3 linked regions of the Schizosaccharomyces pombe genome follow. Each later gene encodes a partner of the first gene's protein in a complex. Each region holds a gene or a part of one and is shown on either strand. Other genes may lie near its edges. The genes, in order: tfg2, tfg1 and tfg3.

Evidence for each region.
Region 2: tfg2 (region 1) and tfg1 share a complex: the UniProt entries of both Schizosaccharomyces pombe proteins name them as parts of the fcp1/TFIIF/polII complex.
Region 3: tfg2 (region 1) and tfg3 share a complex: the UniProt entries of both Schizosaccharomyces pombe proteins name them as parts of the fcp1/TFIIF/polII complex.

Annotation. Positions count from the first base shown.
Region 1 is NC_003423.3:193,529-198,962, reverse strand, and holds tfg2 (transcription factor TFIIF complex beta subunit Tfg2), read left to right. Parts: upstream 1-1,815; 5' UTR 1,816-1,887; coding exon 1,888-2,412; intron 2,413-2,471; coding exon 2,472-2,615; intron 2,616-2,718; coding exon 2,719-2,973; coding exon of another isoform or gene 2,974-4,118; 3' UTR 4,119-4,164; coding exon of another isoform or gene 4,165-4,285; 3' UTR 4,286-4,925; downstream 4,926-5,434. Other genes in the region: fructose-1,6-bisphosphatase Fbp1, read left to right, coding at 1-864; ubiquitin ligase Mfr1, read right to left, coding at 2,974-4,118, 4,165-4,285; RNA polymerase I transcription termination factor/ RNA polymerase II transcription factor Reb1, read left to right, coding at 5,421-5,434. UniProt on the Schizosaccharomyces pombe protein: TFIIF is a general transcription initiation factor that binds to RNA polymerase II and helps to recruit it to the initiation complex in collaboration with TFIIB. It promotes transcription elongation.
Region 2 is NC_003421.2:2,160,556-2,164,952, forward strand, and holds tfg1 (transcription factor TFIIF complex alpha subunit Tfg1), read right to left. Parts: upstream 2,619-4,397; 5' UTR 2,569-2,618; coding exon 2,029-2,568; exon of another isoform or gene 1,946-2,028; coding exon 1,850-1,945; exon of another isoform or gene 1,839-1,849; intron 1,809-1,838; coding exon 1,010-1,808; intron 961-1,009; coding exon 776-960; 3' UTR 640-775; downstream 1-639. Other genes in the region: succinate-CoA ligase beta subunit Lsc2, read left to right, coding at 1-345; protein Cwf26, read left to right, coding at 2,665-3,563, 3,604-3,610. UniProt on the Schizosaccharomyces pombe protein: TFIIF is a general transcription initiation factor that binds to RNA polymerase II and helps to recruit it to the initiation complex in collaboration with TFIIB. It promotes transcription elongation.
Region 3 is NC_003424.3:893,021-897,077, forward strand, and holds tfg3 (TFIID, TFIIF, Ino80, SWI/SNF, and NuA4 complex YEATS family subunit Tfg3), read left to right. Parts: upstream 1-1,978; 5' UTR 1,979-2,345; coding exon 2,346-2,387; exon of another isoform or gene 2,388-2,576; coding exon 2,577-2,745; exon of another isoform or gene 2,746-2,802; coding exon 2,803-2,954; exon of another isoform or gene 2,955-3,018; coding exon 3,019-3,381; 3' UTR 3,382-3,527; downstream 3,528-4,057. Other genes in the region: protein mug35, read right to left, coding at 699-1,403; SPOM_SPAC22H12.03 (hydrolase), read left to right, coding at 3,857-4,057. UniProt on the Schizosaccharomyces pombe protein: Functions as a component of the DNA-binding general transcription factor complex TFIID, and the RNA polymerase II associated general transcription factor complex TFIIF.

The sequences.
Region 1 (5,434 bases):
ATCGCCAACACCATTCGTAAAGCAGAGTTGGTAAATCTCATTGGTTTATCGGGAATCGTCAATTCCACTGGCGATGAACAAAAGAAGCTAGATAAAATTTGCAATGATATCTTCATTACTGCGATGAAGTCGAACGGATGCTGCAAACTCATCGTTAGTGAAGAAGAGGAGGATCTTATCGTAGTTGATAGCAACGGTTCCTATGCCGTCACTTGCGATCCCATCGATGGCTCTTCCAACATTGACGCCGGTGTTAGTGTAGGTACCATATTTGGTATCTATAAACTGCGACCCGGCAGTCAAGGCGATATTAGCGATGTCTTAAGGCCTGGTAAAGAAATGGTTGCTGCTGGCTATACTATGTATGGTGCTTCGGCTCATTTATTGCTTACCACAGGTCATCGTGTCAATGGCTTCACCTTGGACACTGATATTGGCGAATTCATCTTGACCCATCGAAACATGAAAATGCCTTTGCAACATAGTATTTATTCCATTAATGAGGGTTACACTGCATTTTGGGATGAAAAAATCGCTCGTTTTATTGCTCATCTCAAAGAAAGCACACCAGACAAAAAACCATACTCTGCTCGATACATTGGTTCTATGGTCGCCGATATGCACCGTACCATTCTTTATGGTGGGTTGTTTGCTTATCCATGCTCAAAAGGAAATAACGGAAAGTTGAGACTTCTTTACGAATGTTTCCCCATGGCCTTCCTTGTTGAACAAGCAGGAGGTATTGCGGTAAACGACAAAGGAGATCGCATTCTGGATTTGGTACCCAAAACATTACACGGAAAAAGCAGTATTTGGCTTGGAAGTAAACATGAAGTCGAGGAATATATTAATTTCATAAAATAGTAATTCCTAGTTCTTTGAAGTCCTCTCCGTTACTTTTTATCTTCTTATCACCAAACATGGTTATTCCATTCCAATAATGCAGAAACTGAAACTTTTGTCAATTATTCTCTGCATCATCATAAACATGGATCTCCAATTAGGTTATTTTTCTCACATATATATGTATATATATATAATATTTGTATATGAATACATGTATCTTTTAGATGAAAAACTTATGGTTGACAGTTGCACTTTGTCAACCTCTTAGTTTTTTAACTTAAAGAAAAAGAGATAATAGTTTTTGTCGTGGATAGAGATTTTAAGGTGGAATTCACCTATTTTTCAGAGGACGTTGGAAAAGCTTAATGTTTTCAAGTAATGTTTTAGGATACATAAGTACATTTGAAATAAATGTCTTTATTAAAAAACAAACAGCTACATTTGTTGTGATTTTTTCTGTATTCAATAATCATCTGCTAACTGTATTTTCTAAACCGTAAAGTCCAAATCCTGACTGTAGACAAGTTAGTCTTTGTTTACGGCAAGATGTTGAATGGAAGTAAAGACGCCGTCAGTTGCAGTACACTTCATAACATTATTTTTTGACCAGGGTGACATTCACAGGCTCAAAAGAAGGAAATACCGAACAATTCAATCCAACGTGAACTGTTTCTGTAACAGTACTCCCTTAAACATTCGATATATTTTTCTCGTAGAAAGCTACATCTTTTTAAAATACCAAAGTGTCTAACAATATTCTAAACTTGTTTTTAAGGATTGATTACTTTATGTGAATTTAAATTACCGAGGGCTATATGCAATTCTCGACTTCACTCCGTACCTTAAATCGGTTTGTTAAAATAAGTTAGTGAAGTACAATGACATTTCGGTAAAATATTTATGCGATGCTTGTAAAGAACCGTAAATCAAAGTTGCTTTAGGGAGGCGACATCAATGCTTCTTTCTCTTAACTTGTTAAAGAAAGAACCATTGAATAGTGGAAACTGCTTGAGTAATTTTCACTATTTTGAAGGATTTAAAATGTCTGAAGAAAAACCGACGGTTCGAACTGAGGAGGATGACCGCTATGAAGACGATGCTGGTGATTTAGATTTGGGTCAAATTGGCTCAAGAGTGTGGTTAGTTAAAATTCCCAAGTTTTTGATGGACAAATGGAATTCAATTCCAGAAGACGATGCCGCTAATCTAGGGTGTGTTCGGGTCAAGAATGATGAAATACAATTACTTCTTCAAAACAGTCCTGAAAATGCAGACGTCCCTAAAATTTATAATTTACGCGTAATGAATAAGTTTGTTAGGAATTCTTATGTTTTCCGAGAATCAGAGACATCTAGTAGCATGAAAAGTACTGCTTTGGTTGGTACCGTTGCCCATGAGTGCAATGTCTCACCTGTTATTAATGATGACTATCGCCGAGTCATGCAAAAACGTGCTTTGGCAGCTAGTGCCCCTAAACGCAAAGTTCAAATGATAGATGATCGTGGAGGTAGTTTGCTTGCACCTGGAACACTTGGTTCTCGTTCGAGAAGCACAACTTCATTTATCGTATGTTTTGCAAATATAATGTTTAATTGTAAGCATCAAACTGCTAACTTTTTTTTCAGAGAAATGTCAAACCCAGGACTGGGGAGGGTCTTAAGAATTCCCGTATACCTAGAAATGAGTTACTAGATATCTTGTTTAAGTGCTTTGAAGATTACGAATACTGGACTCTTAAAGGACTTCGTGAATATGTTAAACAACCAGAGGTATGTCACTATACTTTGATAATGGATATTCTTTGCGTAATTGAAATTATCCATTTTTTATTTAATTTGATTTGTCAGAATTAAACTAATGAATTCATATTAGGTTTATCTCAAAGAAGTTTTAGACAGTATTGCTATTTTGAATAAAAGAGGGCCTTATGCTCTTAAATACAGCCTCAAGCCTGAATACAAGGGCACAATGGATGCTGCATCTGTCGAGTTGCGCAATCAACAAGCCTCTCAATCCGAGTCATCCTCGATCGATCATACAGGCAAAAATACATCACCTGATAATCCTGGAACGAATGCTGAAGAGGATGAAGATGATGATGGGGTTGAGATGATTGATGTTGTTTGATTAACGAATTAATGTACTTTCTTCTTTTGGCTTTTTGTTAAAAAGCTTCCAAAATCTTAGCGTTTCGTCCCCAGCTCCCGTAACTATAGACTGGCCATCGGGACTCATAGAAAGGTAGAGGACACGGTTTGTATGGGCAGTAAGATTGGCGATATTTTTCAATGAAGGATATTTCCATAAGGATACTTGGTTTTTTGCAAAACCATGAGTAGTAACAATTTCGTTAGAAGTCTTGGACCAGGCCATGTTACATACTTGTGAGCCAGTATCCAACTTATTTTGTAGCCTTCCAGTCAAAGTATTATGAATCGTTAGACATCTGTCGATGGTACCCCCGCCGCTTGCGAGGATCCCTCGTTGATGAGGGCTCCATCCAATTGCTTTGACCGCTGCTGTATGCTCTTCAAACTTATGTAAAGGACGTGAAGAGCGGTAATCCCATACGAATAAATTATTGTCATTCCCTCCTGAAGCAAGCTGTCCTAGACTTCTATCCCATTGCAATCCGCATATTTCTTGTTCATGAACTTTCATCATTTCGGCACAGCAACCTGGTGCTCTTAGGTCATGATGTAAAATTACTTCGTCTTTGCCTCCACTTGTGAGGGTATTATCGTTCCATGCTAATGCTGCCACCCTTTCGGAGTGACCTTTTAAAGATCTGACTGATTTCGTAGACTCGATATCCCAGATGTAAATTACTCCTGAATCTGTCCCTACAGCTAATTGAGTTCCTTTACCTGTCCATAAGACGCTTGTGACATGATTTGTTGCTCCGAAATCATGTAATTGAACCACTTTACCACTTGCTGCTGACCAGAGATAAATGCTGCTTGCTAGTCCGACTGCCAAGACATTAGATTGGCCCCAGTCAAGCAAGTTTAAATAAAAGTCATTTTTTAAGTAAGGTGCATCCAAGATTTTATATGGAGTTTTTGGAAAAGCTCTTTTGGGCTTTTGTGGTTGCCGCAACATATCTTGAGATTGCGGTGAAATAGGAGATAGAGAATATGATTTTCTATCAGGTGTATCCAACATTTTCTTCTCAATTTTCCTTTTGTCTTCTCCATAATAGAAGGCTCTAGAGCGAGATGCTTGTGAACCGAAGAGCTCCATGCTTAGTAGCTCCATGAATTGCCTTTGAACTGCTGTCGTTAGTAATGGGAATATAAAACTAAAAAAGGTACATACTAGTGCCAGAGGTTTTGCGCCTAAGATTTGATCCATGGCTTAACACACATTCTTTGAATGACTGGAAACTAAAGTTGAACTCATTGCTAACGTTGCGAATGGGAATGAATCGGTCTCCCATTGTCAACCAATTCTTTATAAGTTGAAGTTAGTCGGGATGGAAGGGAAATGTTGAGATTCCTATTTCGTGAATAAATACCTTCCATGCTTTATTTGTTTTTACTGAGTGCTTTTTTCTGCCCGTCTGCAAGACATTGCTACAGAATTATGAAACCAGGTGGCTTGAAAAAATGCTAATTATGAGCTATAATGACTGCAGTAAACAAACATTTGCTAAATACTCTGTATAACTGCTAAAAATAAAGCTATCCTGTGATCGCCGTATTACCTAATGCTACCGTTTAAACTAAACAAATGCACTCATCAAAACAAACTGTTGATAAAAAATATCTCAATAACAATATTATAGTCATCAACCAGCAAAAGGTGATGTTATGGTAAGAGAACTCCTAAAATATGATGTTCATAGAAAAACAACAACAATGATCAGTTGACCACGATGTGCCAAACCCATTGTTTTCTGAATGTTTATTATGATCATCAGATCCCGGTCTTGTAAACTTATTGCCAAGAACCCAATTTCTTCAAAATGTTCAATTAATTAAACATTTATTTTAGTTGTTTTGTAACAGAGTAAATAGTGCTATAGATTCGTTCAAAAAAATTCCAACTACTATCGAATGCAAATACTTTTTACCATGTATGTGAGTACAAAAAAAATTTTCTCCTCATTCTCATTTCAATTGATTTATTCCTAACTATTTCTGTATTTCTTTTGGGATATTCATTTTTAAAGACAAATCTTCGTATGCTACTAATTTTTCCAATTAAATACTATTGGTATATTTCTGCATTTCTTGTTTATTTGATTAATAGTACAATTTCATATTTTAGGACGATAATAAATATGAGTTTTTTTGTACTAAGTGGTAAGCAAAAACAACATTTTTTGTATATCATTAATGTTTTCGTTGTACTACTTAGCATTGCCTATAAGGAAATGCAGCGTGTCGATATATCCCTTAATAACAAACCATCTTTATTTCAGATTTACACTCCTCAGTTTGTGTCCCACCCTTCCTAAATCGCTGTGCTAGCAAACTGCGAATTAAAGCTCACGAAGCGTTTTGTACGATATTAGCGATTGATAAGTTGAAGTGATTACTCAATTATAGTACTTCAAAAATATAATCTTTATGGATACCTCCGT
Region 2 (4,397 bases), on another chromosome or scaffold:
GGTAATGCTAATGCTGAAGCAATTCGTGAGGCATTCTCTCTCATCACTAATGATCCCAAAACTACTGCTATCTTTGTGAACATTTTTGGAGGTATTGTTCGATGCGACGTTATTGCCAAAGGTCTTATCTCGGTAGTATCAGCGTTGAATCTGAACATACCTATTATTTGCAGACTTCAAGGAACCAACCAAGGTGCTGCCAAAGAGGTAATCAACAACTCAGGTCTCCGTATTTTCTCATTTGATGATCTTGATGAAGCAGCTAAGAAGGCTTGTCGTTTCAGTCGCGTTGTCGAAATGGCACGTGAAGCCGATGTGAATGTTAGCTTCGAGCTACCTTTGTAGGCTGCTAATTTTAACGGCTTTAATGTATAATTGTTTACAACCCCCTTTTCTTATTATCATTACGACATACGGCATCATGGAATGATTTTATATAATGACTTGTGTATATAGAATTCTTAGCACAGCTGTTTACCATGTCTTAAAGAAATGGTTTGTTATTTTTCTTCTTTATATATTTTATACACATTTACAGTTATATAGTAGCATAGTTGAACATCGCGATCGTAAACTCGTGTATTTGATACTATACCGATCGACGAGTGCACTTCTTAACAATCCGACGTTTTCTATTTTAGGGGAAATGTTAAATTGTAATAGTTCTACTATGCTCTTAAATTAATGCAATTTTGAATTTTGTTTCCAAAAATAAAACAAATGTTTTCTTTAATGTTCATTAATATATAAACGTTATTACATAGATAATTCATAACTAGTTTTTTAAAACGAGTAGCTTGTTCTCAAATCGAGCAACCTTTCGAATGATCTTCTGTATTCCCAACCGATTTCTGTTGTCGGCTCTAATTTTGCGTTGGAACAGGTGAACTAGATCCTTAATAGAAATGGGACCAGCTCTTAAAGCCTTCATTACCTCTGCCTCCGTAATCAGATTAGAATCTAAAAGCACGTTAATAAATTTTCTGGTAAATGTAAAACTTTAGCATACCATCAATTGGAACATTTGTAGTATCTCCCACAACCTCCACTTGATCTCCTACACTCGTTTCTGTAGACCCCATGCTAGGGACCATACGGGGAAAGTCATTGGCAAACCGTGATAACTTTTCACTTGATAAGCGGAGAATTATATATCCAGGTTTGTTAATAAGTTGTTCTTGAGGCCTTATTTGAATAGAAGTATTAGGTGATTGTAGTTGCGATGAAGCTTTGACAGGAGATACGCTGCTTGGCGTTCGTTCTAGTGGTCTTGGTGTATTAGTTTTGGAAGCGTTCGCAGAAAATCTAGACTTTAGTTTTTCTTCACGCTTTTGCAATTCTTCTTCTTCTTGCAAAACTTCTTCTTCACTAGACGCATCATGGGAGGAAGCATAAGGGTCCTCATCTTCCTCATCACTCTCATAAGCTAAATTCTTTTCAAGCAATTTTAAGTATCTTTGCAGCTTTTTTCCTTCACGCGACATTTGTCTATCATTCTCCTCTTCAAGGTCGACATCTTGATCAGCTTCACCAAACAAATTGGCAGTTAGCATTTCCTTTTTAATCTTGTCTTTCAACTTCTTATTATCTTCTTCATTTCCTTCCATAATAGGTGCTTCTTCATCGTCAGCGAATTCCTCGTCATAATCTAGTTCATCATCACTTCCACTAGCTCTCGGTCCCGTTACAGGACGTGCATTTGGAACCGTCTTAAGTTTATACATGGGTGAAGCAGAGCCTGCCTCTGCTAAGTTTTCTTCACTCTCCTTTTTCATAAACCAGCGAGGAATCGGAGTTTTTTTATTCATCTAAATGGGTTAGACAAGACCTGATGGAAATAAGGACTGACCTTTGCCTCCGCTTCATCAATTGAAAGCGTTTGGAAATTGTTACGTTGATTAAATCGATAAAATCTATCAGTTGGAATCACCTTAAAACCATTTTCCTATAGAGTAAGCATAAAAAATCTTAAATGATCAAAAGATGAATGATAAACATCCAACATCTTCAAATGGGATAAAAACTTACAGAGAACATGAACAATACATATGCAGACGATTGGCCGCCTTCCATCGTACTAACCCATGTGTTTTTTCCTTCAAAATCTTCCATAATCCAAGGAGATAACTCCTCCTCTTGTAGTCTGCGGGCCTGTGGATCAACTTTGACGACCTGGCGAGTTTTCCTTTTAAAGGCATTCTGCTTCATGTTTTGAGCGCCACCGTAAGGAGCGATTGAAGCGATGTTCACGTTACTGGAGCTTCCTTGTTCTGCATTTTGTTCTCCGTTTGACGAAGATGGAGCATTGGGGTCTCTGCGTTGCATTTTTATGGGTGGCACAAAGGATTTGGAAGGATCAATGGCTTTGTTAGAGTGAAATTTTAATAAATGGTATTTAGTTGTTTTTCTTTCACTCTCTGGACACCATGAAAGCTGGAAATCCAAAAATTTTTGCTGCGATTGTGTCGAAGCATTATTTTGGGAGTCAGGCTCCTCAACTTTGGGTTTCTTCTCATCAGGATTTTCCTGCTTTACATTTTCAAAAACTTTTGTCTCTTGTGAATCCATGTTCTCCGATAAAATATGTCAATACTGATCTTCCGCCGGTGTTGGAAGGTAGCGAGTTAAGAAGCGCTCAGGTAAGAAAATATGCATTCAGCACATATGTCAAACGCCGACTATATTGCTAAAAAGTATTTACGAAAAGATCAAGGGAAAAAGAAAAAGAAGAAAGAGAAGGATTTTGTAGAAATTCAGGATGAAGATGTCGCTGGATGGGACGATGACAATTCATTTTCACTAGTCAACAGAGAACTCACATCTTTGCATGATGCCCCTACAATTGTCGCAAATGAAAGCCTTAAAGATCGAGATATTGATGCTATTTATCAGAATATAGAAAAAACTACTAATAAACCTGCTCAGTTGTGGAAAGCTGTGGGGAATGATGAAGTTGTCGAATCTGAACAACAGGATTCTCATGATGCTGAATCAATTCCTCAGTTCGGTCTGTTAACTGGAAAGCAGGTGACCTTTAAAGCTGAAGAAAGAAGAAAGAGAGAAGAGAAATCATCCAATCTTGATGAGGAAGAGCTTCGCAAAAGTCGCGAAACTGTTTACAGAGATGCCACAGGGAGAAGGATAGATCTGGTTCTTGCAAGAAAAGAAGCCAAAAGAAAATTAAAAGAGAAAGAGGAAGAAGCTAGAAGACAGAAGGAACAACAACAAGGTGTGGTTCAAGTGCGTCAACAGAAAGAATACCTAAAAGAACTTGAAAGGCAAAAAACGGTGCCATTGGCGCGTTATGAGGACGATCCTGAATACAATAAGGAATTGAAAGAAAGGTCTCGTTGGAATGACCCAGCTGCTTCGTTTCTCACTAATAAACCTGTATCATCAAAAGCTACTTATCAAGGATATGCGCCTCCCAATAGGTTTAATATACGACCTGGCCATCGTTGGGATGGAATTATTCGTGGTAATGGATTTGAAAATAAATGGTTTCAGCGCCAAAATGAGAGAAAGGCACAAGAACACGAGGCACATATGTGGGCAATTGAGGAGTAAGTAATCAGTTTTTGAATAAATCTCTAACGAAATCAGCATGTAAATATTTAACGATTTCATTATTTCTTCTGCTGAAAATGGAGGAGACTATTTGGTTTCATGTATATGATATTGTAATGCGAGTTGAACATAATCTCTTCTAGTTTACGAGTGTCAACCGAGGCACAATACTTGATTTTCCAGATTCTGTCCCATTTCCTTTAATTAACTAATGGCTTTGATATTTACCTACAAAAGCAAAACGCTTATAGCAAATAGCTTTATTGGGAAATCGCACACCACGAGACAATGGTAGCCTTATCTATACTAAAATATTTTTTGCTAGTTTATATATATTTATTTTTAAATTTCTGACGATTTCTTAATCCTATATTCAATTATGGGTCATTAAACGTATGAGTATGAGCGACCACGGCTGTTAGTAGTAAGAGGGTTTGAAATATCATCCATTCAGTTATTTCTCTAAATTCTGAACACTTTTTACCAATATTAAATATCATTTCCCTATTGCTGTCCCTAAGGGCCCAAATAATTCACTGCTGATTCTGTGAATTCATATGTATTGGCTTTTAAATGATAGTAAGAGCTAAACGAGAACAATCGATGTTTGAAAATAGTATTTTAAAATTTTTAATTTTATACTTTTTAAGCCCTTTCACATCCACATAGACAGACTTGACTTCACACTTGCTGTATACGTAAAGCAAAGCTTTTTGCATAAGAATTTGTAATTCCAACCGAGTACAAGGATGATTCAAATACTCTTTAACGTTTTACTGTTGACCTGTTTAGTATGAAATATTGTTTTTAACAATTAAGGTTCGGTGAAC
Region 3 (4,057 bases), on another chromosome or scaffold:
AAGTAATAAATCCCTTTAATTTTCCGTTTTCATATTCACTTTCTATCCGCTTACTATAAGAAAGGCAGAAAAGCGTTATCGGTTAATGTGTACGTTTAATTATTAGATGTTCAAAAATGCTATACTTAATTACAAACAAGAGAGTTGAAAGCTGTTACGTGATATTCCATTTTTTGAGTAAATGTGAGGATACCATTGAAAATAAAAGGTCGGATTTTTACTAACGGTTTATATGCATAGTTATTATAGGTTACAAAAAATAATGATCTGATAATTCCAAGCTAAAGTAAAACGAACTAAAACAAAGAATGATAAGAAATTGGTGTTTTTTATTTCCATAAAAATTGAGGGTCATAATTTCGTCGGCTATAGAGCTATGTATACAATCTCCAAATGACTTTGACTTTCGGTTTGGAAATCCGCTAGAAAGTGAAGAAGAATGTATACATAAAAGGTGTAATTAGGTTCAATTCCCAATTTACATCTAAATAAATAATGCTGATACTAGGAACGTTCTTTATCATAAAATGAAATGTGTTTCAACAAATACCTAATTAAGCATTTATCGTTTTAATCATCTTTTTTTAATTTACAAATATTTTATAAAAATAAAAAAAGTGTTTAGATATTTCTTGGGTAAAAGACACTAAACGGTTGCTAAACATTTGTGTCGATTGAATATGAATGATATAATATCGTTAAAAATGCGTTGGAATCACTTGGTTTGAATGTTGGAAATTAGATTCCAAACCCATGCGAATGAAGCGTAGAAATTCATCGACACTCATGCCATTTCTGGAGCAGATTTTCCAAAGACTAGCAGTTTGTTCCATTACTAGCTCATCCAAACCAAGACGATCATATTTCTTCGATCGATGCTTAGGTTCTTGGACAAGGTTTCTAGATTCTTCTACATCTTGATTGGAAGGTTGGTCAAGATCATAACGATCCCAGTAAGGCTTTTCGCTGTGTGAAACAGGAGAAACATCCCGCTCCTTGTCAGTGGATGTTAAGTCACCACTAGAATCGCGTCTCAACAATTGTTTTTGGGTTTTATCATAGAGGCCCATAAGTTTCAGAGAATGATCCTTTTGGTAAAAAAATACCTCAAATTCATACTTCCCTGCTTCAAATAAATACGATATCACATGGTCTTCAGGTGTCCCGCGACCAACAAACTTGGCAGAACGAGGGTCAAAGCTTTGCAAAAATTTCCATAACTCTTCTGACTCCTCTTTGCTGAGGTCCTTATTTATAACTAATCCTTCCCACCATCGATCCGTGGGTGCTAAAAACTTGACTCTCAACTGCAAGATAGGGGTAACAACACCATCTAGTTGTTTGGGATTTTTCAAAGGGAATATGCCTAAGCATGCTAATTCATCATGTCTTTCGTTAGTCATGTTTCACTGTGTACTAAAGTGAAATTAAATCAAAGCTTAAGCTGCCGGGTGTAATTGACAATGTGAACAACGCATATGCTACCACTCCATTTATATACGTAACTGACACGGCTTCTGGATAACGAGGATCGATTACTGACACAATCAATTTTTTAAAATATTAAACAACTTTCACTATTCTCGTATTAGCAACAAAGTTCTTTTGCTGCGGTATTTTTTGTTATTCTCAAATGTTCTAAAGAAGTTGCCAGATTAATCCATCGCTGGAAAAGAATCCAATAGTTCAAAGTTCTTTCAGCTAAAGCCTAGATCCAATTTATGAATAAGCTAACTTGGGAATCGGGATAAACTCTTACCTCTGCATAAAAATAATATACCCAATGCCTTATATTAACATGGTGCTCGAGGGTTTGTTTACTATATAGTTCGAGTAAAATTCATCGCATCCAAAAGTTTCGTTATTATGCTTTAAAATTAAACTGACTGTGCATTAAAGTTTTTAGTATATTACACTGCAGTACCATACCTTCACTGTCAGTTTGTAAGTCTACTTGTACTTTCCAGGAATTTGGGCCGTGACGAACCCAAAAGTCATATTCCACTATTCAAACGTTTTATAGTCTCACAGTTTTAGCAGTTACTTCCCTGTAATCTGCTAATAAATTTTAACAAAAGAGATATTTGTTATTAAACCAAAGTCATTTGCTTTATCCTTGAGTTAACCGACTTTTAGAAGTCCTTAAAAGTAGTAGTGCTCAATATTTCTGAACACAAATTACTGGTGCTTCTATTTCAATTCGTACATTGGCAAGATTTTTTATCTTTTCAATTTTAAGAATACCGCAAAAGTTATAGAATCGTTAGCCCGATATCTCTTCTCACGACTCGCTAAGCGTCTTCTATCCATATATTTTTCGTCCTCATATACATTGATTTAAGAATATGACAACTGTGAAAAGAACTGTGAGATTAATTACTGATCAGGTATGAAAGCCATCTGATTCATTTGCTACGACCGAGGCGCGTTATTTGACCCAATGGTCAAGGTTAGGTGCAATTACAAAAAACTTTGGCATTATACAGGATGCTCGTACAATTGAATTTAGAAGAACAATAAAAAACAAAACTTTTTCTTGCAAGTATCTTGATGAACTTTGAACTTACAATATTTAGAATGTGTTGCCGGGAGGTGAAGCAGCTGTGTTGAACGATCAAAGCTTCCCTGTGAGGGAATGGTCTATAAAATTGGTCTGCTTAAATCCTCAGGGAGAAGAAACTGACGCTTCCTTTGTTGATCGTGTCACCTATAAGCTACATCCAACATTTCAAAATCCTACACGCAGTATGTATTATGTGATGAAAGGAAGATTAGCAGAATAACGTTAACTAATTTTTTTAGCTATCAGAAAACCTCCTTTCCAAATAAAAGAGCAAGGATGGGGTGAGTTTGAAATGGAGATCATAATATACTATGCGGACAAAGGTGGTGAACATCGGTTCCTTCACTATTTACATTTTCAGCAGGAGCATTATCATGAGGATATCGAATTGGTATGTGTTTTAAGTATTTTAACATTTACTAGACTCTGATTTTATGGTGCTAACTGAGTCTTAGAATATCAATGCTACTAGGCCAGGTTTATTAAAGGCACTGACAGCCACTGGAGAAGTACCTGGCTACAGTGATGAAGGTGAAGAAGCTCGTAAGGATAAAAGAAAAAACGAATCAGAAGTTGGTGCTGGGAAGAAAAAGGCGAAAGCTAAACCTGTTGACATGGATAAACTTGCAGAGGGTTTGCAAAAACTTCAGGAGGATGACTTGTTACAAGTTGTGCAGATGGTGAATGAGAACAAAACACCAGACATGTATGTCCGAAACGACATTGAAGGGGGTGAATTCCATATTGACTTATATACTCTGCCGGACAATCTTCTGCTCTTATTATACAGTTTCTGTGCTAAACGCGTCACTATGTAATTAAGAGCATTGCAGTTTTGTGCAGCCTACTTTAAGGGAGAAGCGTTAGTTTCCCCATTCTACTTTTTTCCTGAAGACTGCTTAATGAGTTCTTGTATCATAATTTAAATAAGAAATTTCATTCCTTTTCACTATTTTTTGAGTTTAACTTGCGCTTAAACAGCGATACAAACATTTGTATTTTGGTACTATGGTGTAGCTTTTGTCTCGAAAAAGAATATTTGGTTAGATTAATATAATTATTTTTGTTTTTACTTACATAATATTTTAAAACCGACCTTTTTAGCTTTCATAATCAGCAATTCAGATTATGATCACACTGCCGATAAGTAGTTATTTATCATTCCTTGGATTAGGCTCACTTTGCTATTCGCAAACGTTTCCTGCAACTACAACTTCATGACAGATTAAATTATAATTATTTTATATCGACCTTATAGTGTTTATTTATTACTGCACAAGAAATTATAGAGTTATGTCTCTAAAACCAGTTAAATTAGCCTTTGAGAAGTATTCTGCCACAGTTGCTAAACACCCCCCAGTTTTGATCTTCCACGGACTATTGGGATCTAAGCGTAATTGGAGAAGTTTGGCAAAAAAGTTTTCCTGCAAACTTGACCGGGATATTTACGCTATTGATCAGAGGTGTCATGGAGATTCTCCCTGTGTAGCTCCT